4 linked regions of the Rhinolophus ferrumequinum genome follow. The protein of the gene in region 3 interacts with the protein of the main gene of each other region in a pairwise test. Links are inferred from orthologs where the notes say so. Each region holds a gene or a part of one and is shown on either strand. Other genes may lie near its edges.

Region 1 (7,153 bases), on a different chromosome or scaffold from region 3:
TACTGAGTGGCTTAAATAACAGGAATTTTTTTTTACAGTACTGGAGGTTGAGAAGTCCAAGATCAAGATACAAGCTGATTTGGTTCCCAAGTTAGGGCTTTCTTCCTGGTTTGCAGATGACCGTCTCCTGTGTCCTCACATGGAGAGAGAGAGAAGCAAACTTTCTATGTCTCTTCTTATAAGGGCACGAATGCCATCATACAGGACCTACTCTCATGACCTTATCTAAACCTAATTACCTCCCAAAAGGCCCATCTACAAATACTATCATATTTGGGGGTTAGGGCTTCAACATGGGAATTTGGGGGGCAGGAACAAACATTTAGTCTATAACACTATATGACCCAGCAATCCTACTTTTAGATGTTTAGAGAAATAACTTATGTTCACACAAAACCCTGTCTGTTAGTATTTAAATGGCTCTCCTCATAATTACCCAAATCCAGAAACAACCCAAAAGTTGTTTAATGGTTGAATGGGTGAACAAATTGTGATACCTGGAGTGAGATACTACTCAGCAATACTCAGCAATATGAACTATTGAGACATGCAACAACCTAGATGAATCTTAAAGTCATTATGCTGAAAGATTAGAGGCATTATGCTAAACGAAAGGTTTGTGAAAGGTTATGTACTTTATGATTCCATTTATATTACATTCTGGAAAAGTCAAAACTATGTGTGATGGATAATAAGTCAGTGGTTGCCATGGGTTAAGGATGTAGGAAAATTATGAGTACATCCTGAGGGAGTTTTATGGAATGATGGAAATATTCTGTATCATGATCTTGGTAGCAGTTTCACAAATCTATACATGTGTTAAAACTCACAGAATATATGCCCAAAAGAGCCAATTTTACTGTATATTAGTGTTTTAAAAGGAGTAGCCCTCCATGAAATAGCAAACAAATAACAGAGCAAATAAAGCCAAAAGTTGATTCTCTGCAAGATTAATAAAATTTGTAAACTTTAAACAAAATTGATAAAAAAGAAAACCAGAAATCACCAATTTCAGAAATGAAAGAGGGACATCATTACTGGTCTTATAGACATTAAAAGGATATTAAGGAAATATTGTGAGCAACTTTATGCCAATAAATTTGACAATGTATATGAACTAGATAAATTTCTTGAAAGACCCAAACTACTTCCCCTTACATCCCATTGACCATTCCTAGCTTCCAGTGAGGCAAAGTATCTGGCAAATGTAATAGTCATAGATGGCTTAGTTCAATCACAACTTATTATCTATGGCTGGGCACAGTGTTGCACCCTCCCAATTCAAAAAAATCAGGGGTGTATCAGAAGTTAGGGGAGTGTTTTGTGTAGGAAAGTAACAATGCCTACCACAGTTAGGTTTTTGTCACTTGCAATCAAGACTCCTGGTGCAGTGCATTTATCAGCTAAAATGAAATCTTTAACCAGCGTACTTAAAGTGCATACTTTTGAGCTGAAGGGAGGGACTGAGAGCGCCACGATAATTGTTAGAGAAAAGCCTAGAAAAGATTATTCTTAGAAAAAAATCTGATAACACCAAATCTGAAGGTCTGTGCTGCTTTTCCAAAGTGAAAACTTTTCTTCCCTCCCTCCATCTCAGGTTGTCTCCATTCCCCCTCAGTGCAAGAGCTCATTTAAGTGCCCCTACTGGTATTTTGTTCTTCTCTACTGAAGCATTTCTCCACTGTCTTGTAAATACTTGTTTTCTTGTCTATCTCCTTAATGAGATGGTGATGCTAAAAAAAGGAATCATGACTTCATTTTAGTCATCTTTAGTTCTCTGGAACCTACGTAGTATCTGTTTTTTGCTTGTTTATTTGTTGTTGTTGTTTTCCATTAATGAATAAGATGCTTTTAAGGCAAGGTTGAAAATTTTGGCTAGTAAAGAAACAATGAGTCCTTTTTAGATTTAGACAGATTATTGCTTACACAGACAGTGAAAGCAAGAGTAGCCATAAGTACCAGTTCCTCATGAGCTTTTGTCATACAACAAAGCAAAAGGAGCTGGATGATTGCAACATGAGTTGTGGAATGCCTCGGTGCTGAGGGGCTAATGCCGAGCTGCAGCTAAGCCTTTTTATAGTCTGCAGCTGTACTGTAGTGGGAGTGAAGCAGAAAGCCTTATCACAGGAAGCAATAAGAAACTGTCTCATGACACCCTCCTTGGAGGACAGGGAACTAAGTGCAAATGGCCTTGTAGCAGCTCCTTACAAGCCATTCATGCTCTCATGTTCCAGAAGGTATTCTGCCAAGACTCAGATTCGCCTTGCCTATGTAGCCTATGTAGATATATGCAAGGTTATCCAGCACTGGCATGAAGCTATTCCCTACACTCAGGTTGCCCAGGGGAACAAGAAGCTCTATCTTGACTAGATCTTGAAGATGGCAACGAGGACCACCTTTCTGGAAAGAGTCCACATAGGGGGGCTCAGAACTATAGTGTTTCAAAGTGGGTGTTGGTCCCTGTCTTCAAAAGAGTAAATTAGAGAGGAAAACCTCATTGTAGTATTTACTCTCTTAGAAAAAAATAGGAATTACAGAAAGGAATCCCAGGCAAGGGCTTTGTAAAAGTTTGCAACATTTAAAATTTCCTTAAGTATTTCTATTTGATTTTTTAAATCTTTCCTGTTTTCCAACATTAATTAGATGTAAAAACTCTTAATGTAAAACAAAACAAAATAAAAATGCCTTGAGCTAGCCATTAGGGTGACAAAAGAGGAAAAGGTAGAAGAGTACCTTTCTCTTCTTTCAAAGGTGGGTTGGTGGCAGTAGCCAAGTAGGAGAGTGAAGCCTGGATTTCTGAAGCCTCCTAAATGATCAAAGAAAGAAGAGGATGAGAGTTAGCAGGGGATCTGTGGAGAGGAAGTTCCAGTCAAAGTGTAAAGTAGCATTTTATCATCAGCTGCTTGCTGACTTGTTCTCTCATTCACAAATCCATCAGATGCTGAGGGTACTTTGCAGAGGTCACTGTCCTGAACGAGGCAGAAAGCCAAAGCCTGCAGATCTTGCACTGTCTGGAAGGCTGGACCTACACTTCTAACATAGACCTTAACAGGGATCTTTTGTGTGGTTTCTGATGCCTGACATGTGACCGAGCAAAGGCAGGAATGTAGCCAGCCCACAATTCACTCATTCAACAAACATCCATTGAGTTCTCTATGTACCTGGCAGTCAGCATCCTAGGATTAGGTGGGGATACTGCAGTGAACAAGACACAAGTTCTCTGCCCTTATGGGACTTACAGACAAAAACAAAAGAAAACGAAACAAAACACAGGGTGAGATGATGCTGCAAAGGATGCCGGGAGGAAAGGTGGGCAGTGAGACTGAGGACGCTGGGCCATGGTGAGCCTAAGCTGAGGTCAGATAGGGAAGGTAGGGAACAGACCACAGGGGGCCATGCAGGTGGATGTAGAGTTTTTATGTCATACTTAAGGCAGCGGGGATCCATTGAAGGCGTTTAAATAGGGAATGAAGTAGTTTGATTTACGTTATTAAATGATCACTCAGCAACTGTTTTATGGCATAAAATGTCCAGCCTGAAGTCAGAAGATGACCGTGCATTCTGCAAATTCAATGTTAGATCATTGCCAAAGCTCTAACATGTCTCATCTTGTTTCCCTAATAGATAAATTGGTTAAAATAAAGCTCTGTAGCTTAGCCAGTGGGAGCCAAAGGCTGGAGTCATGCTTTGGTTTCAAATTCTGCTTCCCATTTAATAGTTAATGAGCTCTTGGCAGGTTATTTACTTCTGCCTTAGTTATTTCAGCTGTGAAATGGGGATAATAAGTGGCTCCATCATAGGTTTTTGTGAAGATTAGTAACAATACACGTAAAGCATGGTGATGGTGCATGGCACAATGTAGTAAGCATTCATAAATATTACCTTTTATTACTTCTTTCAGAGGATTACTGTGAAGACGACATGAGAAAATGCATGTGAAAGGGTTTGTGAAACCGAACAGACTATCCTAACGGCAGAATTCTCTTTCTTTTCCTTGCCTTTTAAGCGGAACACAGAACATTGGGCTATCTGAGGAGAGAGGCACGAGGCCAAGCCAAACCTCAAAGCGGTCATTGTCGTTAGGCAGCCCCTCCCCCACCCGGAGCGCATCTCCATGGCAACGTGGGGCTTCGCCTCTCCCCGCCTCCTGGGGCCCGCAGACCGGAAGCAGCCCGCGCAGGGGGCTTCTGGGAAACTGCTTGTGAGCGGCGTTTCTGCGTCTGCCCTGGACAGCGAAGCTGCTAAGGTTCCTGAGCCGGAGGTTTGCGCCAGACTGAGGTAAAACCGTGACGGGGACGCTGGGCTAGGGGTTGCGGGCTGCTTGGCAGCAGCCAGCGAAGAAACCTGGCAGGTACCTTCCTCGGGTCCCCGGGAGGTGCGGCGCACAGGCCACGGTCTCGGCGCCCAGCAGTTGCGGGGCGTGAAGGGGCAGACGAAAGGCCAGCTCGGGCTTTGGGCACCCTCGGAGAGTTCTCCATCCTGTGTCCTCCGCGACCCTCGCCTTCCCCCTCCCCCATCTGCCGGTTTTGTTCTATTTCGAGGCGCTGGCGTCTCGCGGAGAGTTCTGGGACTCGTTTCGGGAGGAGGTGGGAGAGGGCGGGCCCTGCGCGGGAGCTGCCGGAACTTGTAGTTCCCCGGGCTGCGGACGGAAGTGCAGTGTCCCCGACGTTGTTGTGGCAGGGTGGCCTTTGGTCATCTGAAATACTCCGCCGCTACTGCGGAGAAGAGAGTTCGGGGGACGTCGGGGCGGGGACAGAGTTCGCAGCGGAACTCTGCAGGAGTGAGGTGGGGAGATGTGGAACGAGGCTGCCCACCCAAACACTGTCAGGACCGCGGGCCTGCCCTCCCGGCACCTCCTTCCCGTCCTTTGATCAGAGTGCGGGATAAGAACATAGAAGAGATTTCTTTCATATAGAATGCTTGAGCCATTGCGAAGGTAGCGTTCTGGAATAGGAAGGAACGAATCTGTTGGCTGAATCCTATTTGTAAGGCCACATTCCAGAGTAACCTTGTATGTGATACCTGCCTGATAAGATCTTTTCTGATCCCTGGTCTTCATCTGGATAGGATTACAGTTAAGTTTTTTTGAAATTAGTGGTTTTCACATTCTGGGCCCTGAACAGATAAATTGAGTAGCTGCATGTCTCATTCTTAATATGTGTTGTAAACAGTGCCACTGGCATGACTGTGCAAATAACTAAGGGAAGCATCAGAAGTAGCACAAGGTTTTCCCTGAAGGTAGAAGCTGGGAAAACTGTGAGTCATCTAGTATAAGGACAAGATTCAGGTCCACTGTAAGAAGTTACGGTGGTTGTGAGAGTCTCTTTTCTACGTAGAATTTGTGGTCATTAATGCCTGTAATGATAAGTTTAAATGTAGTTAAGGTGTGGGTGACTATAATATTTGCATTGTATGGCTCCGGGAGGCTAATTTTTTCCAACATTATGTTATCTTTTCCTGAGCAAGTGAATACTTTTTCACATATATTTTAAGTCTAGGGAGTTCTTAAACATTTAAAAATATCTTTCCACTTTAAAAAACACATTTGGTCTTAAAAATGTTTTCCTTAAGCAGATAATAAAAAAGTGTCCTTGTTTTTGAGTTGACCTAAGGTTGGCTGGGAACGCCAGTCTTGAATTGCAAATAAGGTGTTCCAGGGTCGAATGCATTTAGAAAACTCTGAGGTGGGCTGGTTCTTAACTTGGATTCTTTTGGTTATTGAAATAAGGTTTATTGCTTTTGTAGGTCAAACTTTAAAGGGCCAGATAGTAAATATTAGGTTTTTTAGGCCAGATAGTCTCTGTTACAACTACACAACTCTGCCACTGTGGTGTGAATTGTGAACAAATAAATAAAATTATTTGTGGACATTTTAATTTCATATTTTCACATGTCATGAAGTATTCTTTTGATTTTGTTTTCAACCATGTAAAAATGAGAAAACTATTCTTAATACAAGCATTGTACAAAAACAGGCAGCAGGCCAGATTTGGCCATGGGCTGTAGTTTGCCAACTTCTGGTGTAGGTTATTGATTGGAATTTTTAAACCAGTAAAAGAAGAAATATTTTTACTTCCTTTATTAGCATGTATCCAAATTCTTAGGATATTTGGTCATTTATAAATATATGTTTTTGTACCTCAGGAGAGACTGTGAAGAAAAGGAGTTATTTCCCAGAAGCCTGTATCCTGCCTTATCTTTTTTTGAAGTGTTATAAATCAGGATGTCTGCACAGTCAGTGGAAGAAGATTCAATACTTATCATCCCAACACCGGATGAAGATGAAAAAATTCTGAGAGTGAAGTTGGAGGAGGATCCTGATGGCGAAGAGGGATCAAGTATCCCCTGGAACCATCTCCCTGACCCAGAGGTTTTTCGACAGCGATTCAGGCAGTTTGGATACCAGGATTCGCCAGGGCCCCGTGAAGCTGTTAGCCAGCTTCGAGAACTTTGCCGTCTGTGGCTCAGGCCAGAGACCCACACAAAAGAACAAATCCTGGAGCTGGTGGTGCTGGAGCAATTTGTTGCCATCTTGCCCAAGGAGCTGCAGACTTGGGTTCGAGAGCATCATCCAGAGAATGGAGAGGAGGCAGTGACGGTGCTGGAGGACTTAGAGAGTGAACTAGATGACCCTGGACAGCCGGTGAGCCTGCTTGTGTCACTTTTCCTGGGTGAGAAGCACTCACATAGCAGTGGGCAAGGCTGCTTGAAACAACTCCGCTCAACTACAGTATATGTTTTGTATGGTTTCTCTTATGTGTGTTTAGCTCTAATTTTCATAAAATTCCTCATCAACTGAATCAAATCTTGTTATTTCCAGGTTTCCCTCCGTCGACGAAAACGGGAAGTGCTAGTTGAGGAGATTGTATCTCAAGAAGAAGCTCAGGGATTACCAAGTTCTGAGCTCGATGCTGTGGAAAACCAGCTTAAATGGGCATCCTGGGAGCTCCATTCTCTAAGGCACTGTGGTGAGGACCAGAATTCCATGTGGACTAGAGGATGAAAGAGTGTGGGCCTTTTGTCCAGAACCCTTTGTTTATCCGCGCGTGTGTGTGTGGCGGGGGTGGATTATCACCTTCACCTGATTTCTTAGACTAGACACACTGTAGGAGCTTGATTCTTTTCTCATAACAATTGGTCTGTTGGCCTCAGG
Region 2 (7,187 bases), on a different chromosome or scaffold from region 3:
AAAAACCAGAAACCCAACTTGAACCATCTTAATCACAAAAGAGATTTACTGAAGGGAAGCTATGATAACCCAAAGAATTCAAGGAGAAAATATCAGGTGTAGGCAGGTGTTTTTTTTTCTTTCTTTCTCTGCCTCTCATCTCTGCTTCATTCAGCAGGTCAACTTCCTTCTCTCCTGCAGATAAATTGAAGTGACCAGAGAGGAAACCAACAAATCCTGGATTCACAGCTATGTATGTCACAGCAAAGTATTGCATCAAGGCCCAAGGACTCTGAGGAACCCAAGCAGGTGTGTCTGAAGATAAGAGGATGTGACACAGCTTTTGAGTATGTAGTTTTCAAGCCCTCTTGGAAAGTGGCAATAACCAAGAAAGGCAGCTCTCACTCCATTCCAGGGAGCTTCAGGCACCACTCTCACCCCCACGCCCAGAGATGGGTGTAAAAGCCATCCTCTTTTCAGAAAACCAGAGCCTTATACCCACAGGTGCCTAAAAGCCCTTCCCCCAACCCCCTCTTTACAAAACAAATGGTCTCCCTGCTCTGAACTTCTCCCTTAATGAGCCAAGTCAGTCAAATTTTCTTATCCTACTGGAAGAAAAATAACTGTCTTTTTCTTATATGCAAAGGCATATGAAGGGAGAACCCACATTTGATTTTGCACCAGGATAAAAAAAAAAAAGTGGGTTTTTTTTGGTTTCATTTTTGTTTGGGAGTTTTTTGACAATAGCTACTAATCTTCAGAGAAAAGACTGATTCTGAATTCTAAGAAAAATGGGAGGATCACTTCTCTTTCCTCTGCTGGTCCTGGTGGAGCAAGTTTTCATTAAGCTCAGTCTCACAGTGTCTTGTAAAAATACATTTACCAACTTCTGGTGCAGGATCAGCTACATAATGTATAGAGCCAGGTGCAAAATTAAAATTCGGGACTTCCTATTCAAAAGATTTTAAGAATTTCAACACGGCAGTAGCAGAGAATCAAGCCAAGTGTGGGACTTTTCTAAGGAGAGGCCCTGTGTGCTGTGTAATTTGTGTGCCCACAAAGCAGGCCCTGTTCTATGCTCAGCTCTAACCACAGGTGCCCATAAACAGGTCAGGGTCAGGGCAGGAAACAACCATCCTGACGAAAAGCAACCCAGTCCAGAGAGATGCAGCTCTCCCTTCACATATGCCTTTTATATCCATCCTTCCCTGAGTTCTTTGAGACATCACACATACATAACTGGAAGACACTTGGAGGTTTCCCTAGAATAAAGGAATAGTCTGCTTCAAGACCAATAAAGTGTTCACTCTTGCCAGATAGAAGTTACTTGCTGCTTTCCCAAGGGTTTTTAATTTTTTTTTTCAGCTTCTACCCATTAAGGTTTATAAAACCTAGCATTTGGATTGTAGCCTTTGCCTCTGGACAAAGCTGAGGGTCCGTCAAGCCCATGAGTCTCAGTGGGAAACAGCTACAGTGGTCTGGTCTTGCCACTAATAAACAGAGTTATTATTGTATTGTGTGTGTGACTCCTATGTTGAACTCTCTAGAAGTTTTTGATTAATTCCTGTAGGCTTTCCAGGTGTGCAAACAAATCATCACAAATAATCTCATTAGCTTCCTCCTTTTGATTTGTTATATTTCATATGTGTCTTGCCTTTTCACCTTTGCTATAATGCAATTTCTTTTAAAATTAGCTGACTAATAAATCTTAATGCTGTTGCTTTTATTATTTTTTTTAAATAAGCCCTCCTGTCCTTTTTTTTTTTTTAAGGAGGATGCAGCTCACAGTGGCCCATGCGGGGATCGAACTGGCAACGTTGGTGTTATTAGCACGACGCTCTAAACAACTGAGTTAACCGGCCACCCCCAAATCTCAATATTGTTTTGAAGAAAACTTGAAAACTTGAGAATAAAGCTCATCCAGGAAAGTAAATGCCTAGGAGCAACAAAAAAATTGAGGGAAAACGGACTAATTAGGAGGGACTTGCCTTATCAGATATCAAAATGTCCTATAAAACAATGGAAATTCAAACAATGACACAAATACTGGCACAAATAGAACTTTGGAAGAAAATATAATATCCAAACAAACTAAATTTGTTCATATTTAGTATATGAGAAAGTAGCATTTTAAATCAATAAAAAAGTGATAGATTATTTAGTCAACGGTGCTTCAAATACTAAAAATTAGGGTTAAGAATATAATCATAGTTGTAGTTAAATAATTACAATGAAATACAAGAAAATATTTTAATAATTTTAGGACATAGAAGGCCATTCTAAACATTAGCCAAATCTAGGAACCCATAAAGAAAAAGATTGTTAAAAATGCCCACATAACAATTTAATGCCTATCTATAGGGTAAATGATCACAAAATGAAAAGAGAACAAATAGGAAAAATGTTTGTAAACATGTAAAACAAAGGATTTGTACGTAAAATATTAAAAGTTTCTATAAGTCAACATTAAAAAGATAAAAACCTAATAGAAAAATAGCAGAGAATTTGCTATTTTTTGTGAATTATCTTTCATGAAAAGATAACTCATGCAAGATAGGTCTTCAGTGATCATACGAAAGGTACTTAACCTCATCAGTAATACATCCTATTGGCTTATTAGATAGGCAAAAGTCAAAGTTTGACCGTTCTCAGGTCAGGTGAGGAAGCAGTTTTGGGTACAGCCTATTTATAGGGCCTTAGGTAAAATCTATCAAAATTAAAAGTGCACATATCCTTTGACCCAGCAATTCTACTTCTAGGAAGTCATCGTACAGAAACACGGGTGAGTGGTTAAATATCTGTTCATTCCATCTCTGTGATAAATGATCGAATTGTTCACCAATACAGTACTGGTTGCATAAATTGTGGAATAGCCATATAACGTAATATATAAAAAGTATGAATTAGATCTGTATGTGCTGATACAGGAAAAGATGTCCATAAGTACACTGAGGAATGAAAAGAGCAAGCTGAAGAACAGAACAGATAGTAACACTCTGTATTTTTTTTAAAATAGAAAGATGTACTAAAAGTCTATCTCCAAATGCTAAATAGCTTTTCTCCCCCTTACATTCAACTATTTTTCTTTAGAGTATTTACGCTCTACATTGCCTTTGTTTATTGTCTGCAGAAAGTTCCATGTGTACAAGAACTTTATTCATTCAATGCTTTATCCTCAGTTCCTAATACATTGTAGGTGTTTGATAAATATTAATTGAAAAAAATGGAGACTCAGAAACATACATATATATATATAGTTCAAAAAGTTGTTTCAAAGACTGTGGATTTAAAGTAATAAAATCTCCATGATCTGACACTAAATGCTAAAAATATACCAAATAATTAATAGTATTTGTATAATCTTTTTCCTGTTGACAAAGCATCTTTACTTACATATCATTTGGTCCTTGTAACATCCCTATGAAATACACAAAAATATAATTAACATGTATTTTCACTTTTGGGTTTGCTAAATTTAGTCTTTCGAATGATGGTTCCAATCCTATTCAACACATTCCTTTTTATTTTGGTTTCCAGACCAAGTCGTTTTCTGAACACTGCAGTTTTCTTCTTTGTGTGTGCATATTCATACATATATAACTATCTACACATATAAAATTATTCATTTACATATAATTATACACACACACACACACACATACAATTTCCTTGTGAAGAACGTTCTTTCCTGCCTCTCTACGCAAAATACAGGTGACTCTTGAACAACGCAGTTGGGAGGCCCGGACCCGGGATCCGTGCACAACTTTTGACTCTACAGTAGGCCCTTCACATCCGCGGATCAAAAACAGTATTTTCCACCTGTGTTTGGGAATCAAGGTTGGAAATGCAAAAACAGTTTTTGATTCTCGGCTGGTTGAAACCATGGATTCGACGCCTGTGGATGCTGGTGGATAAGAAAGGCCAAATGTACTTATTGAAAAAAATCATATCTGAATGGACCCTCACAGTTCAAACCCGTGTTGTTCAAGGGTTTGAACAACCGTACAAGTACCCAACCTTCAAAACCCTGTTCAGGCCAGACAGTGGGCCTCACTCCCTTTCCCCAAACCAGACACGCACAAGGCAGACACAGCAGCACACTGCTTGCCCCAAAACCAGTCCCAGAAGCCAACGAGGCAGGACAAGCTCCGCCCACTCTTGCGTCCGCTACCGTTCGAAGTCCCCGCCCACCTCAGGAGTTTCCCAAAACCCAGCGCGGCAGGCCTTAACCGCACTAAGATGGCGACTCCCATGCATCGGCTCATAGCCCGGAGACAAGCGTAAGTGAGGGTCTCAGTCGGGGGTGGGGGGCGGGGAGAAGCGCGTCAGCCGGCGGGTGAGCGGGCGCCAAGATGCGGGACCAGTGTCGGATTCTCAGTGGGGACCGGCAGAGGGTGGCCGTTTTTCTCACCCGTTGCCTGGTCCCGGGGGGCGCGGGCAATAAGTTTGGTGCCCATGGGCCAGCGATTTCGTAGAAGAGGGCTGCGTAAGATCCCCGGGGCGGCACTAGGGGGGTTCTGAAGAGAGCCTCGAGTTTGGTTTCCCGGAAGGGAACCGCAGGAGTTAGTCGCTAAGTAGTTTGTGTCCCTTCGCCCACCTGGCTGCCCGCTCACCCCACGCTTGGCCGGGGGAAGCCTGGAGCCCTGTCCTCACCCCCTACGCTCGCCGACGTCTGCAGACTCTAGCCTAGCTGGCTTTTCGTGCCCCCTTTCTATTGCCTTCCCTAGGAACAGCCTGACTACAACAACGCCAACTTTTCTCCCGAGCTATAGTCTCACTTTCTGCCATTCATTGTCTTCAATAAATACTGACTTATTCATTACCTACCACTCTGCCAGATTTTGGTATAAAGATGAAGTATTCAAGACAAACCCTGCTTTCAGGGAGCTTACATTCTAGTAGTGGGAGGAGTTGACAAACTAAACATTTTCAGTAAATACAGTTGGTGATAAGAACTTTGAGGGAAATAAGAGGTGATGGAAAAAGAGAAAGGCCCAGGTTCGGTTGGTTGGACTGGAAAGGTATTTCTGAAGAGGGGACGTTTGAAGAGATTGAAAGTGTGAGAAAGGAGCCAGTCATGAGAGGATTTAGGGAAAGAGCATTCAGACGGTGGAATAATTGCTTTGAGGCAGGAAAGAATTTAGTTTTCCAGAACTGAAAAATGACCATTATGGTGAATGAGTGAGAGGGAGAGGCACAAAAGTTTTGCCGTGGACATATAATACAGGAGTTCTTCCCGATTGCCCCTTTTTTGTAAAGCCTTTTTTCTTCTATCAACCCTCACACCCAAATGTCTGCCACTTTTCCATTCTCTCGGCATTTCATGCCATCACCATTTGTACGTCTGGAATATATCACTCACATTCTGCTAGCATATATGTTTATATATTTTTTATTTACATTTTTTATTCTAAGGGCCCTTTTCATTCTCTTCCCTCCATCAGACTGTCTCTCATGCCAGATGAGAAGAGGTCCTTGAGCATAAGGGTATCGATTGAGGACGTCAGGGTATGTCGTATGCTTAGTGGAGGAAGACGGCTTTGAAGTCAGTTCTGAGATCAAGAATGGAGTGATAATGATACTTAATAGGCAGACTAAATGATGTCACCAGGGTCCACTCTAACTCTCAGGTGTTTTCTTTTGGGTGTCAGTTCCATAGTTGGATATGTTCGTTCCCTTGGTCCCAAGATGGCTGCAGTATCTAGGACCCTTTATATCCTCTCAGCTTCAAGTTGGTGGCATCTCATTGGTGTAGATTGGGTTACGTGCCCAACCCTAGACCATGTCTTTGGGGTTGTGAAACCGATTGACTTAGATCTCTTTCTTTTCCCAATGCGCTTGAATGGATTTCTGTAAACCAATGATGAGCGGGGTGGGTAGTCTCAGAGGAGGTAATGAATGCTAGATTGGCCAAACCAACCAATGTCCACTCTAATTATGAAGTGAGAGTAGGACTTGTAGCGCCTAAAGAATATTGCTAGTTCTTATTTTAGAAATATCAGTAAGTTAAACAAATGTTCTGTTTCTACAGTATGCCTGTATTTCGTACATGAGCTACACAGAAGTAAAAGACAAATCTTACCTTTAGGAGCTTTTGCTTTTGTTGCTAAGAAAACATATGGTGTATAATAAAAGCTGTCAGGGTATATAGACTGTAAGTCCCCAGGGAGTCAGAGGAGGCGGGCCTTTAGAGGCTAGAGCCGTCCAGGAGAGTTTGGGGAAAATTTTTTCGGGAAAAGCAGAAAAGGAGCCTTTGCTTTTAGTTTTATAGTTATCAAAGAGGTTTAATTTTATTTGTAAAGAGGAAATCTTCTATAATAACAGATTTTAAACTGTTTTTAAGTTAGTCATGAGAAGTGAGAAAGTACTGTTGTCTTGGAAAAAGTCTTTGGACTTACAGAGGAAAGGCGGGATGTAACAGGAAAACAAAAAAGCCTAAATTGGAACTCCCCATGCAGCAGATCTTCAGGGACTTAACTTTAAATCAATTGAAATGAGATTATTTTCACTTTGTAAATTGTAATTACATGTACTCACATTCATATGTAAGTAGATTTCTTCCACTCAACACCCCCCTACATTCCATTACTCTCTTCAGCATCCAGGGTAGTCATCTAACTTTGGCTTCAAGACCTCCAGTTGGACATATTCACCTCCTGAAGTAGCCTGTTACGTTTTTCAAATCTATCAAAAAGTTTATATTGAACTAAAGGGAAAATAATATTTATGAAGCTAAACCCTACTCCTTTCTAACTTCCCAGCTTTTGACCAATTCTGTGGTTTCAGTCAGTTAAAAAGCCTAAGTGTTTTCCATTTGAATTGCCTTCAACTCCAAGCTTCCCCTGTCTTGTACTCATATTTATATTGATTTTCTGGACGTAAATGTTAAACTTACTTTTACCCTTGTTAAATTTCACCTCATCATTGACACAGAGATCCAGGCTGTCAAGACCTTTTGGCTCCTGATTCGGTCATCTGTCGTATTAGCTGTCCCTCTCAGCTTTGTGTCACCTACAGGTTTGATAGATGCACATCTGGGTCCTCATCCAAATCATTTATAAAAAAGTTGAATAAGACCAAGCTGAGGACCAAACCCTGCAGGCCATCACTGGATGCCTCTCTGTATAACTGACTTCAACCCATTATACAGTTCTCTGTCCATGATGTTCAGCTGACCTACCTGATTGTTCTGTTTTATTCGCAAGGAT
Region 3 (7,369 bases):
AAGAAAGAATGCATACAAGATTCCCTTTTCAAGAGATCCACAAAGAAAAATAGTTCTGAAAGGACCTGCAAAGAAGAAATCTTCTGAATGTGAATCATTCGCTGAAAGATTCTATGCCTAAATTTTGCCTCTTAAAAATATTAAATTCATACATTTTCTAAAAACTGAAAAAGAGAAACTAAATACATTACCTAGTTGAGACAACAAACTGATAATACTTAAGATCAATGGTGCACTTATGTTTGGGTCTTCAAGTAGCTCTACAAGGCAACTCAGGCATTCACTTGGTAATATCTGATTTGATGTAAATAATCGTGTGAGCTTCTGTCCAGAAATTACCTACAAAATAGTAATTAAAATGCGTTAGTTAAAAATTGGCAGTTTTCTTCCCTTTACCATTTCTAATAAAAACTTAGTTCTTCCAAAGTGCCACGGCCATTCTTTCCTAATTTAGAAAATTCATACATTCTGTTTCCTCTGCCTGAATATTACCAATCCCTTTCTCACTAATTAATGTAATCACTCAGGTTTCAGTTTTAATTTGTTTCCTCCAAGAAGCTTCCTCTAACCCTCTTCTACCAGCTAGGTTAGATTTGCCTATTACATTATCCTATAGTACGTTTCATAAACTGGCAAACTTTTGGCGACCTAATAGTATTTATCCTCCCTACTATACTGAACACTCCATAAAGGCATAGACTACAAATCAACACTCTACTATTAATATATTTATTGAATAAATGAATTCCAGTACATTCATTCCACCTACTTTGAGGGAGGCAATAGAAAGTAAAAAGTAGCTAAATCCAAAGGCTTAGCTATGGGATTAAATTCCAGATTACTTCTGCTCCCTCCCAAAGATAGTAGCTGAGTCCAGAAGCTAGAAATTACAAAAAAGGCAGTAAAAAAAAATTTTTTTAAGTGGCCAAGTCAGGCACAAACTTTACCTTTGGTTATTCCACTTTTTACTCCTCTCTTACAACCGTACAAACCACTCTCCCCCTTACCCCTTGAAAAGGTAAAGCTGGGATTGAAGGACAAAAACAGTTGTCAGACACCTATTTTCAAAATGCTTTTTGAATGTTATTTATTATTAAGCACGTCTTTTCTATAAAAATGGAAGAACAATTAGTTACTTCAGAATTATATTAAATCTGTTCTAAATGTTTTCATTTTTAAAAGATCAAGTCTAAGCAGGCTATTTTAGATTCCCTCTAATCTTTCCTTTCTATGTCCTTTCATTCCCTCACCTAGATGAGTTTTTCTTCTAAAGCTTTGCTGATAAGAGAACTTCAGAGTATCTTTTTCCCAAGGACTATGTGTTTTAACATTAAAGACAAAGTCTGTGAGACTGAAAAATAGGTCCAAAAGTTAAATTAGATACTGATAGTAGATATTTTGCGGTAAGGAATCTTCTGAACATTGCTCTTTTGCCTACTTATAAAGCTAGTCCTCTAGAAGATTAAGACATTTTCTGCTTTAAATACAATTTCCCTCAGAACTGGATTTGTAATTCAATAACATAAGTACTCTAACATGTAATAATTATTACAAGGTACATTTTAAAACTGCTTTACAAATTTTCTTCTTTACTCATTCATACCCATTGAATGCTTTAGGCAAATATAATTTATTTCAGTAATAACTAATACTTTAGCACTTACTTTGGCCTAGGCATTGTTTTAGGTACATTATGTTAATTCTTTTCATCTTCATAACCTGCAAGATAGGGGCTAGTTATAGTGCAGATGAGTAAACACAATGAGATAGTAGCAAAATTGGGATTCATTGTTCCTGAATCCATGCTCATAAACATTATGTAAGATTAGTGCTATGAAAAATCATCAAGATTGAGACCAGTTCAGCTCTGCCTTCACAAAACAATTCAAAGCTGGGATTCTGCATGGGACTATAAAGAAAAAATATAGCAGAAGACATGCAGCAAAATAGCAGAATGAATAATCTTCTTTCACAGGATAACTGTCTCTCTTTGTATCCTCATGTTGCTCTCATGAGGTCTGCGCAAAGATATTCACCATTAATATCATCACCAAAATGGTGGAAATTTAAAAATCTGAAAACACCAAAGATCGGTGTGGATGAATGACAGCAAATTTCATATATTGGTTGTGGGAAGGTAAATGGTATTTACTTGTGAAAAATTCATTGGCAATTTCAACTAAAACTGAACATAAACTGTTTAAGACTTATAATTTCACTCCTATATAAAAGAAATTAGTGCACATATAGCCGCAAAAAGAGTATGAAAATATTTATAAGAGATTTATTCAAATTCTACCCCAAACTGGAAACAACCCAAATTCCCATCAACCAGAGAATATAAACTGTGGTGCATTTATACAATGGAATTCTACACAGCAATAAAAAAAGAACAAAGTATAGCCGATGTGCAACACAAATGAATTTCAGATTATACTGACTGAAAGAAGCCAGGCACAAAAGTACATATTGTATAAGTCCACTTCTCTGAACTTTATGAGAAGGGACATTGAAGAAAACCTCATAGGGGGCTGGAAATGTTCTATATATGATATGGGTGGTAGCTACTTGGGTGTATAGATATGTTAAAAAACAAAACAAAAACAACCTATCAAGATCTTTACTGAAGATTAATGCACGTTATGCATTGTATGTATGTTCTCTCTAAATGGTAGATTATTTTTCAGTTTGGAACCCCCTGAAAGTTTGGAACACTATCAAGAAGCCACTCTCTAAGCCTCAAATTTCTTTGAAGTCTCCTTCAATTCACAATAACATAGTAGTTAGATTCACAACATATCTGTTTATTCTCAGAGAGGTAATGTTTCAAATTAATATCGGAAATACTTAACTTCTGTATCTTACAACAAAACTGACAGCCCAGCTTACTCTGTGGCTTCTGGATCCACTAGTACAGTGTTTTATCTTAATTAAGAAGCAAAGCATTAGCATTTAACAGCTAACACCTTCATCTTTATTAGGTTTGCAGAAATTTGTTGAGGTAATGAATGAAAAAGAAAATGTACTTAGGAGATGGGCACCTGAAGTAGAAAGAACACCAAGTGAAGCTCGAGAGAACAAAGACACATTTAAAGCACTCCACTTTCACCGAAGACTGATTCACAATGGCCTTCTCTTTGTAGAATTTTGCTAATCTTTGGTAATTTAATCTTTTATTTAGGGTTCATGTAACAAATAGAATATACTTTATGTAAATAGAAGCTGCCACAGAGAATTAAAATAAGCCTTGATTGAGCTTAATTATTTATTATTCAACTGAGAGCATTGTTAGGCGGAATTCCATCAATGCTTAACAAATGACAGCATATGAAGAGCAAAAAAAGTTATAACACTGAATAACTACTCTAGACACAAATCAGTGGGAACTAATAAAAAAATGAAAGCAATTCAGTATTTTAGGACTGAAAAGCTGTGAGCAATGTATTTTGGTAAAGAAAAATTATTATGATTACTAGTGAGATTGCCTTTTAATCCAGAGAAAGTTTAAATAGTATTGTTCAAGTTCGAGGTCAACATGAATTTAAAATAAAAGCAGGAAGGAACAGGTTCAGACTGTAAACAGCCTAAGGGACCAGGAATAAAACAAATTTTAATCATCATTCCCATCACCTTCACCCCTGAGAATCGCTGTGTCTTCTGTCAGGGCTCTGTGACGACGGAAAAGAAAAAAAAAAAAAAGAAGCAAAAGAAAAGATATGGCTTTGAGCTTTCTCCTCTACCACCCCCAAACACAGCCTAAATTCCCCAATCTTGTGTCCCAACCTTCCTCTTCCTAGGACTTTCAGCAGTCACTCGACCCTCCCGCAGCAGCCAGCTGAACAAGGAGGGACTAGGGGCGGGGAGAAGAGGGTGGGAACGCAAGGGTGATACTCACTCGCCTTCTTTACCAAGACAAAAAGACAGCTGAGGAAGACAGCTGTCCTTTCTATTCTAGCCTGGGGCCGCTACACTCCGGCAGAACGGTAAACTAAATATTACTACAGCGAAGCCCCTCACCTCCAAGTGCCGCAAAAGCTGGCTAGCGTTCGCCTCCGACTTAACGGCTTTATACTGACTGATGGTCAGGAGCAAGGACTTCAAGCAATGGGTGGAGTCCATTGAGACCCGCCACCGCCACGCCAAACGTCTACCACCTGGACCCAGCCAGGTCGAGTTTCCAGCTTTCGCCGCGCTTTTTTTGATTTGAGACCCCACCCCCTCGCTCCCAGAAGCTTCCGGTTCCGGTCACGCTCCGGAAACCCCAGGGCACCCTGGGGTACTGACTACTGTCAATGACGGAAGGGGAGTGGGGGAGTCGAGGAGATGGAGGGAAGGGGAGTACGGGCAGAGAGATCGAGGAGCTTGATGATTCCGTGAAGTGGGTTGGGAGCTGTCCTTTCAGATCTGAAAAGCCGCGAGGTTTCAGCTTTGAGATCCCGGGAAGACGAGAATCTCGCGAGAAATGCGATTGCTGCTCAAGCTGTGAAGGGGCAGTTAGACGCAAGGGGTCCTTGTTCATCAGTGCGCTCTGTTTTCGTTTGATTCCTCGGCCTTCACGCTGGATAGCCAGTTTTTCCTTTGCGCATCATCCTCTACCTGAGAAATGGTCGCTTCCCCCTAGTCTAGACACGGTGAGGAGCTCTGAGGAGGAGAATCTTGGGCTCTAGGTTTTGAGGCGGCCTGGGAGGGGTCCCTTTTTAACAGCTCATGTGTCCACCCCTTGTACGCAGAAATGCTTGTTTCTCAGAGTAAACCTATGGCCATTGGGATTCTGTGGCAAGTTAGTCATACCCTTAACGTAGTCGTTGTCAAACTTATTTGAGAAAGCTACCTGCGGGTGACTCCTGGGCCGGGTATTGCTCCGAGGGTGATTTCATTAGCGTCAGTTTTTGTAAGTGAAGGTGTCTGTTTTTATTTGGCGTGATTGATTGTTTTATAAATCTCGGTGTCCATGGAAATGGCGCTGTCATTTACGGCTTTTGATCACAGATAATTAATATGCATGTGTATGTCATTAAATGAGTCGAGTAGCTGGTTCTGGAGCTTTTTGCTTAATGTATGCTACTGTTGAATAAAGCTTTAAAAAGCAGTTTGGAGAAAATTGTAAGAATACGGTATATATCCTTTTATTAAACCATTTGTCAGAAATCATGTTTTGTCAATTCAAAGGAAGTATTCCTTACATCACTATTTTTAAAGGCAGGGTGTATTTTTATATTAAAAATCAATTTTAAAATTAAATCTGAAAGCTTAAAATAATCTAACCAATTAGACATACCTGTAAAAATCATTGGGTAATGTATATATGCATTCATTCATTCTGTAAACAATTACTGAGTGTGTAAAGTGGGCTAGACGTCTAGACATCGCCAGTAAGGGAACAAAGATAATGAAGTATCTCCTGCTGGGAAGGAACTGTCTACTAAGGGAAATATGCTAAACAGTACCTATGGAATTCACCACATAAATTAGGGGCACCATGCAGTTATGGTAAAGTTATGGTAAAGGCTGTCTGCTTACAATTCCTACCTCTACCTTTTCCTGTGTGATCTAAGGCAGATTCTCACTGCTTCAATCTCTTCGTAAGGTAAAATCTGGCTAACAGTAATACCTGTTGCATAAGATTGTTCAGTCAGTAAATAATTAATTAGAGCCTACAATGTGCTAGGCACTGGTCTAGGTAATAGATTCAGTGAATAAAATAAAAATCATACTGTCAATAAAACAAAACGTTACCATTACATTCTCTTAGGAAAAAAAACGCTAAATAATAAACACAGTCAGTTAAGGAAAGTGAGATGGAGAAAAAAAATAACAGCAGAATTATTTCTCTAATGTAATGGTGGCTGAGAAGAAGAGAAATGGGAGGTCAGGAAGGAGAAAGCAACATTTGAGGAAATACTGCAAGGAATACTCTCTAGGGGAAAAGATTTCTATATAGAATGGCAAGGGCAGAGGCCCTGAAACGCAAGCCTGACAATGTGTCAGGAACAGTAAGGATACCACTGCCACTGGAGTTGAGAGAATAGTAGAGGTGAGGTCATGTCAGGTCGTGCAGACAGTGACCTGGCATAATTATGTTCTCAGCATGTGTTAGTTACATCTTAATTCCTTGGCAAATGAAGTGATAACAGTTTGGTAATGTGAGACTTTCATTAGTAATGACAAATGTGTCATCATCGTCCCCATTTTGAGCCCAGGGAAAGGGTCAAAGCTTCTTGTAAGTGCCATCTTTCTTTGAGCTTGCATTTTAACTTAAGCAGTCACACATTTTTTTGTATATCTTCCATAAAATATCCATTTTAATACAAAATAATGTTTCTGAAAAATCACCAAAAATTGATATTGTAACTTTAGTAGGGTATACCCTACCATGATGATAGCTGTGAGAAGCATCTTTTTAGTCAGAGATGCTTGCATATCTTAATATGGGAAACACAGAGCCATATTTTAAGCCTCAAAAAGGAGGAAGAGGAGGAGATGAAGCTGGGTCCAGATGACTAAAAGCCTTATTAGTTTTGAGCTTGGACTCTATTCAGAATTCAGTGGTGACCTTTTTTATTTTGAACTGGGGCCTGATCTAGTTAGGTTTGTGTTTTAAATTGATTCCTGTGGCAGCTGGATGGGCTGTGATTTTGAGAAACATAAAACTAGAAGTATGGAGTATATCACATTTGCTGGAGTTTTTCCAAAGGATAACTAGGATAACTGAAGTGGAGGTAGCAAAGAGGTGACAAATTTCAGAAATGTATATGAGGTGAAATAGGCAAGATTTAGTGACTAATTTCAGATATAAAGAGTGAGAGGGATGAAACGAAGGGTTTCCAAATTTTTAGTTTGAGTGGTTGAGAAGATAACAGATACTGCTAACTAGTTAATAAAAAGTATTCCGGTTGTATTTTATATCCAGTGAAATTTTAGAAAGTTTTTCCTACAGTCTTGTACCATTCTCATTAAGTTTATTCCTGGGTGTTACATAATTTTTGTTACTGTGAGTGGGCTCTCTTTTTCTCCTATACATTTTTAATTTGTTGCTGCTTCTGGAAAAAAGATCCTGATTTTTGATATATCTTTTATATAACCTACTAAAATCTCTTACTCTAATAGAATTTTACTTACCTCCCTAGACTTTCTAGCTATATTATCATCTGCAAATAATAATTTCATCTCTCCTAGTGTAGTCTCCAAAACATGGAATAATCATGGTGATACTGAACATCTTTATCTTAATACTTAATTGAATGGAAATGACCAGTATTTTAACACTTAGTATAACTTGTACTATTGGTGTGTGATAAATGTTTTTTAAAGTGTTTAGGAGATTGCCCTTTATACCTGTTTTACTTGAAGATTTGCCAAAATGTCTGCA
Region 4 (7,054 bases), on a different chromosome or scaffold from region 3:
TGCTGTCCTAGGTATGCCCTGATGTCCCGGTGCTGGGAGCTAAACCCCCAGGACCGGCCAAGTTTTGCAGAGCTGCGGGAAGATCTGGAGAACACGCTGAAGGCCCTGCCCCCTGCCCAGGAACCTGACGAAATCCTCTATGTCAACATGGATGAGGGTGGGAGCCAGGCTGAACCACTTGGAGCTGCTGGAGGAGCTGACCCCCCAACTCAGCCTGACCCTAAGGATTCCTGCAGCTGCCTCACCGCGGCTGAGGTCCATCCTGCTGGACGCTATGTCCTCTGCCCATCTACAGCCCCCGGCCCCACCCTGCCCGCTGACAGGGGCTCCCCAGCACCCCCAGGGCAGGAGGATGGAGCCTAAGACAACCCTCCCCATGGGACTCCCTCTCAGGACACAAGCTAGGCACTGCCACTGGGGGACTCCTCCTACTTTCCCATTCCAGGCCTTACCCCCAACTGCAGCCCTCTCTTCCAACCTATTTCACTTCCATCCCACACAGATCCTCTCCCTTTGCTACACCTTAGTGTCCCCATGTGTAAAAGGAAGGGGTTGGACTGCAATCCCTAAGGGTCTTCCTAGGTCCAATATTCCAAGATTCTGGATTCTAAGGTTCAAAGAGTCTAGATTAAAAGGTTCTAGGTTTTAAAGATGGCTATGAGTCTTTGGTTCTAAGGACCTGAAATCCCAAAGTCTCTAATTCGAAAGTGCTGAGGTTCTAGACATGGTAGTTCTAAAGCCTATATTCTAAAGCTCTGAGATTCAATGGCTCTAGATTTTTCTGGTTTTAAGATTCTTGATAAAGCCCTCAAGTTTTTAGGTTCCAAAGTTCTAAGATTCTAGGTCTAGGATCTAAGACTCTATGATTCTAGATTTTCTTTTCCTTAGGGTGTAAGATTCTAGATTCTAAAATCCTACACTTCTAAACATGGAGGTTTTAAGGCCTAATATTCTAAAATTCGATATTCTAAGCCTCTTAGAGTATAAATGCTCTGGCTGTAAGACTCTAGATCACAAAGCTTCAAGATTTTATCTTCTCAAGTTCTAAAATTCCAGTAATAGTCAATTATAGACTCTAAGGCTTTTGATCCTCAAAGCTCTTGTTAAGAGATTCTGGATCCTAAATGTCTAAGATTCTAGAATTCAAAAGTTCTAAGAATTTACAAGTGGAGGTTCTAAGGTCTAATGTTCTAAGATGTGACTAAGACTTCGTCTAAGAACCTAAGTTCTCTGTGTCTGTGCTTCAAGATTCTAGATTATTAAAGTGTAAGATTCCAATGTTGTTCTGTTCCATGTTCCAAAGCACTCTAGATTCTATTGGTCCAAGATTCTGGATCCTCAGCATCTAAGGAGTAAGACTCTACAGCTGGGTGTGACTAACTATATACCAAAGTTCTAATCATTTCTAATGTTGTACACCTTTAGGTTCTATGCTGTATTCTGACTTTCTAGGATTTTGGTTAAGGGTCCAAAAATCCACAGTTCTAAATCTTAAGATTCTAGGCACTGTAGTTTCAAGATTCAAATGTTAAAATTCTAAAGGTCTACAGGTCTAGGATTCTAAGGTACAATTCCAAGGTTCTAACCTTATAGTAGTCTTCTGTGTGACCCTCTCCTTCTTAGCCACCTCTGCTTCCTCCTCCCCTCATGTGGGGGTGTGCCTCCTCAAACCTGTGCAATGCATTAGGGATGCCTCCTTTCTGCAGGGGACAATCTTCCTCCTTTTGGGCCATGCTGCCCCCCTGAGCCAGTCCCTCGTGCCCCCTGTACAGAGTGTAGACTCGGGTGCCTCCAGAGGGGCTCAGATCACATTAAACTTTGTAACCATGCTTCTGTCTCTTCTCTTCTTGCCTCCTCTCAGCAGTCATGTGGTCCCTTTCCCTGGAAACTCAGTTTCCCCATCCATAAAAAGAAGGGTTTGGTATGGTCTAGGAGTTCTCCCCTCACTAAAGAGGGTAGAAATGAACATATGCACAGACAAAAAGACATGCAAGCAAAGAAATGCAGACTCTCTGAAACCCTTAGTGAGGAATAGGCACATAGGTACTCAGGGTCACATGGAGACACCCACCCCCCAAATTAACAGACACATGAATTAATGGACATACTCAGGCACACCTGGTCACAAATACAGACACTGAAGTTTGGACACAGTAACAAAGACACATAAAACTACAGATACAAACATATGCACAGGCAGATACTCACCAGGAAAAGAATAGAAAGAAATTAGAGTAACACAGACACAGAAAAGTGACACTAACACTCAGAGACAGAGAGAGTACTACAAGTACTCACAGATCCAAACGTTCTGATTCACATAGAAACACAGGCACATAACACTGCCAATAATCACTGTCCCACAGAGGAACTCCTGCCAAGACAAGCCCACTGTGTTTTGCACGCGTTGTGGGCACACATTCCTGGGTGTGCCCCTGGGCAGATGGAAGCGCCCTTGGCAGCGCCCGGACGCCCCCCGGTGGCGGTTCTTGCGAACCTAGAACAGTTCAATCCGGGCCACAAACTTTTAAAGAATAAATCATTGTGGGAAGCTGGGAGGAGAAAGGAAGTCGGACGTGGGCGAGGGGCGGAGTGTCTGGATTGGAATCTCCGCGCCCACGTGAGTGTCTGTCCCGCTTCTGAGTGGGTCCTGCGTGTCTAGGTCGCCGTAGTGTAAGCTTGTAGTGTAACTGCCCTGTGTGTCTTTATCATTCGATGCCGCGTGCCTATGCGGACCTTTGTGGGCGCATCTACACTGAAGTCTAGTGTATTATCCCCTGAATTGATGCATCTGATCTGATCTCACGGTCATTTATTTATCTGTGTTATCTGTGCCTTTGTCTAAGTAAAGGTTGTATATAGCTTTTGTGGATTTAAAGTAAGACTCAGTGGGCAGCCGGCGTTTGCATTGTGTATGTCGATTGTGTATCTTACAGAAGTTTTGTGTCTTTGGAGTTAGAGGCGACAGATGGTGCAGCGTTAGATACTGTGAAACTGTAGCGTTTGTATTTATTAGCGTGAGGCTTATCTACGAACCCATGCGTTTGAGCTTGTCACTACAGACGCCAAACAACAAGATCTATTAAACAGCAATTTAGAGGATTAGGGATAGAGACCCGCGAACTTCTGGAGGTCTTCCTCAAGGAAAAGGCTCTATGGTTGCGTGCAGAGCGCCCATTCCACTTAAAACACCAACCATAGAGAAAGAAGACTGCGAAGCTACGTTCGTGGAAAGAGGCGCCCTGTGAGATGTTCTATCAAGGGGAGACGGTGCGATTTCCTTTACAACTTTTCTCCCGTTGTTAGTCTAGCCTCTGTTTTCAAACCTTCAGGACTCTCTGAAGTCAATGTGTCGCTTTTCAAAACGGCAGCTGAGTTCCTTCCCCGTCAAGAATAACTTATCTACTTAATCTTTATTTCGTATGCCTCCCTCTATAGCGAAATTTGTGAGGCAGTCCGCTGAAGAATGGCCAATCTGGTTAGCTTTTCCTAAAGCGATCCAACTGTAATCTCTTTAGTGAGATCAAACAATAATTGCGATTGGTGGGCAGATTGTTTTGAAACCGCCCTAACGGCAAGGGGCGGGCCCTTCGTGAATTCAACTCTTTCCGGTTTCTTAAAGGCAGTAGTGGAGGGTGGGGGTGTCTGCCGACCCTCCTTTTAATTCGTTGTAGGGACGAGAGATCTAGACCAATTAGAATATGTGTTACAGAGGCACTAGTTTGATGAAAGGGCTGCACAGGAAAGGCCGTGGGGCGCGCTCATTCTGAGATCTCATCGCTGATTGGCCTAAGTCCTTACTCCCTTCCCCTCATTTAACCCTACGGGAGCGAGCGCACGGTCGCTACCCAATCACCGTGCGCTCCGCCTCCCGTCTTTTCCCGCCCTCTGCTCGGGCCGCGGCAGCGACGTAGGCCAACGCTTCCTCCCCAGCAGCTACTGAGCTCTTCCATTGCCGTTCTTTTGCAAGCCGCTCTCTGATTGGCTCAGACTCCGGGCCCGCGCCGGTTGCCCACACCGTGGCCAATTGGCACCTGTGTTGCATCGCATGAAACTACGGAAGAGGGGGAGGAGGTGGCGGCGGCCATTTTGAGCTGCCGCGGCCATTGGAGTAGCCCCCCCCTTTCCCCCTTCGCCTTCTGACAGGAAAGGTTTAAGGGGGTCAGAGGCCTGGGAGGCAGGGCCGGGCTCGGGGGCCGCCCCGGGGGCCCGGGCCATGGATGTGCGCCGTCTGAAGGTGAACGAACTTCGTGAGGAGCTGCAGCGCCGCGGCCTGGACACTCGCGGCCTCAAGGCCGAGCTTGCTGAGCGGCTGCAGGCGGCGCTGGAGGCCGAGGAGCCCGACGACGAGCGGGAGCTCGAGGCCGACGACGAACCGGGGAGACCCGGGCACAACAACGAGGAGGTCGAGACCGAGGGGGGCTCCGAGCTGGAGGGGACCGCGCAGCCACCGCCGCCCGGGCTGCAGCCGCACCCGGAGCCTGGCGGCTACTCGGGGCCGGACGGACATTGTGAGAGTGCGCGGGGCGGGGGCCGGGGAGCCCGGAGTCCGGGCCGAGGAAGGGCTGTGGGACGCGGGAGTCCGGCGCCTGAGGTCGGGGAGACAGTCTGAGCATTGGGGGATCCTGCTGCCCTCCGCTGAAAAAAGAATCTCAGGAGAAGGGCCTCGGGACGACCGGAGGGTGGATCCTGGCATTCGGTGCAGGGGAGATACTGGGCGTGGGGGACCTCGGTTTCGGAGATGAGAAAAGTCCGGGGGGATTTAGAGGATTCTGAAGCCTAGGGCTGGGAGACCGGAAGCGGTGGTTTCGGGAGCTGAGCGAATCGGAAAAACAAGAGGTTTTCTATTCAGGAGCCCAGGAGGGTCATGGAAACGATGATCTTAGGCTTTGGAGCTGGGTGGGCTCGGAGGCTGTGTTAGCCCAGCTTGTGGGCTGGGCGTTGGGAGCCGTGTTTTCAGGGCAGGTGTTCAGGGCTGGGAGAGTTTTGAGGATGGAGGATGCTGGAGTTTGCAGCTTGGTGGGGTAATGGGAAGTTTCATATTTGCTACTAGGACGGGTTGGTGAGATGGAAGTGATGTCTGGCCGGGGAGGGTCTGATGGACCGGGTGCTCTAGTGTTTGGCTGGTGATCGTTTAGGGCATATGGGAAACCACCCTGTGATTGGACTGGGGGGAACCTCATCTGTCTGAAGATGGCCTGAGGGGCTCTGAAATCCAGGGCTGAAGGCCAACCCTGAGGCAGGGACATTGGGTGCTGGGAAATGTGGGGACCTTCTGGTTGACTTGTAGAGGAGGTATAGGGAGCTTTGGAGTGGGAGACTGGCAGGGGAGAGAAAGATGCTTCACTGCACAGGGGACCTAAAGATCTAGAGCTGGCAAGGTTCTGGGGATAGAAAGCTCAGAGGCTTCTATCAGAGGCTGAATGGTCTGGGTTAACAGTCTGAAGAGCGGGTTGGTGGGGTGGGGCAGATAACAGGTTGGTGGAGTTTGAAGTCGGTGGAGTTTGAAGTCGGTGGAGTATCTGGGGGACGGGATCCTTGTGTCCACAGGAATGTGTAGCTGGCCTAGCACATATCGGGGAGGATAGAGTGTGTGGGATGTGGAAGGAAAGAGAAAACCTGTTGACTTGGCTGGGGACCTCAGGGTGGAATGGGGGATAATGTTTCTGGGGCTGAGAGGTCTCCTTGGCCCCCAAAACAGTTATTTGTGTGCCCAGGGATTGGCGGGAGGCCTCAAGAGGTAGCAGGAAACCTCTGCATCACTCAGGGTATGACTTAGAACGAGAGGTGGTAGGGTAGATCTGTGATTATCTGAAGAAGGGCGACCCTGGTATGGGGAGGGAGTATATCTGGTGTTACCAAAGGGTGGCTTTCTAGCAGGACTGGGGAATGGGGATCGGAGAGGTTAAGGAGTAAGAAGAAAGGCCTCTGGCATCCGGGGTTTGTGATATTTCTCTGAAAAGAGGGCACCCTGGGCCTTGGGGCTAAGGGAATGAGGAGAACAAGGAGGTCAGGAAAGAGACAAGATTTGGGGTTGGCATTGGGTACTTACTTGTTCATGGGAGATGGGATCTCCTAGAGGGGGACAAGTTGAATGTGGATTTGGAGTAGAGGGTGGCCTGGGGACTATCTAGGACCCAGATGCTGGGAAGAGTACTTCCCATTGCGGAGACCTGTGAAGGAAGGAGGGGTGGCCCAGTGTGCAGGTCTAGGGCAGGAGAGACCCCGGCAGGAATGCTTACAAAGAAGAGCCAATGGCCAGTGGTGTCTCAGAGGAAAGCAAGTTAGGTGCTTCAGAGCACAGACTCCAGACTCAAACAGACTTGGTTTCACATGTGGCTCCACGACTTGGGCAAGTCACTTTACCTCTGTGAGCCCTGCTTTCGTTGTGCGTAAAATAAGGGTAATAATAGTGCCCTCCTGGATTGTTATGAATGAGGTCACATGTGTAAGGGGGCTTAGCACTGGAGAAGGACCCCAGAATCACAGGTTCTCTGGGCAAGGCTGCCTCTGTGGGCATAGGAGAGATTCTTGGGAACTGAGAGAAGTGAGGCTTTGTGGGAAGAGCACTATGCTTGGAGTCTGGGAGAAACGGTGGTTTGAAAGGACTCCCTGTGTTCCAATTAAGGAGCTACTCCATTTCTTCTCTCTCCCCTACCCCTTACAATGAAATCTTTTTTGAGTCCCCTTCATGCTTGCCTCCAATCCTTCCTTCAACTTTAGTAAACAGACCTGTCGCAAAACACGTGGTCTATGACTTTCCTCCCTTTGGGCTGCACCTGGTTTGTGCCCAGATGTATTTGTCCTCTGAGAAAGGATCCAGTCAGTCAGTGAGTTGCAGAATAGTCTCTCCTTCCCTGTGGTTCTGCCTCACTGGTCCTGGCACCGTGGCTGGTAGGGCCCTAGAGGCACCTAGCAGAGCTTGCCCCTGGGGTGGAGAACCTGCTTGTTGCTCGTCCTAGGTTTCCAAACTTCTTTCTGGGTTTGGCTTCAAGATTCTTGAGGAAGTTTCATGTTTGGTCCCACTCTGCTTTTAGTCCCACCTTTGAGCTTT

The links.
Region 1: the proteins of DZIP3 (region 3) and ZNF24 interact in binary tests that used the Homo sapiens proteins (3 or more experiments, as listed by UniProt). The link is inferred for Rhinolophus ferrumequinum from reciprocal best matches to the Homo sapiens genes DZIP3 and ZNF24.
Region 2: the proteins of DZIP3 (region 3) and ZCCHC10 interact in binary tests that used the Homo sapiens proteins (3 or more experiments, as listed by UniProt). The link is inferred for Rhinolophus ferrumequinum from reciprocal best matches to the Homo sapiens genes DZIP3 and ZCCHC10.
Region 4: the proteins of DZIP3 (region 3) and HNRNPUL1 interact in binary tests that used the Homo sapiens proteins (3 or more experiments, as listed by UniProt). The link is inferred for Rhinolophus ferrumequinum from reciprocal best matches to the Homo sapiens genes DZIP3 and HNRNPUL1.

Annotation. Positions count from the first base shown.
Region 1 is NC_046302.1:29,354,158-29,361,310, reverse strand, and holds the start of ZNF24 (zinc finger protein 24), read left to right. Parts: upstream 1-4,129; 5' UTR 4,130-4,278; intron 4,279-6,144; 5' UTR 6,145-6,223; coding exon 6,224-6,643; intron 6,644-6,820; coding exon 6,821-6,968; intron 6,969-7,153. UniProt on the Homo sapiens protein: Transcription factor required for myelination of differentiated oligodendrocytes. Required for the conversion of oligodendrocytes from the premyelinating to the myelinating state.
Region 2 is NC_046307.1:9,250,591-9,257,777, reverse strand, and holds the start of ZCCHC10 (zinc finger CCHC domain-containing protein 10), read left to right. Parts: upstream 1-4,168; 5' UTR 4,169-4,218; coding exon 4,219-4,259; intron 4,260-7,187.
Region 3 is NC_046285.1:36,204,478-36,211,846, forward strand, and holds the start of DZIP3 (E3 ubiquitin-protein ligase DZIP3), read left to right. Parts: upstream 1-4,364; 5' UTR 4,365-4,631; intron 4,632-7,369. Other genes in the region: protein CIP2A, read right to left, coding at 192-339, 4,018-4,119. UniProt on the Homo sapiens protein: E3 Ubiquitin ligase proteins mediate ubiquitination and subsequent proteasomal degradation of target proteins.
Region 4 is NC_046298.1:39,590,637-39,597,690, forward strand, and holds the start of HNRNPUL1 (heterogeneous nuclear ribonucleoprotein U-like protein 1), read left to right. Parts: upstream 1-4,054; 5' UTR 4,055-4,216; coding exon 4,217-4,511; intron 4,512-7,054. Other genes in the region: AXL (tyrosine-protein kinase receptor UFO), read left to right, coding at 12-363.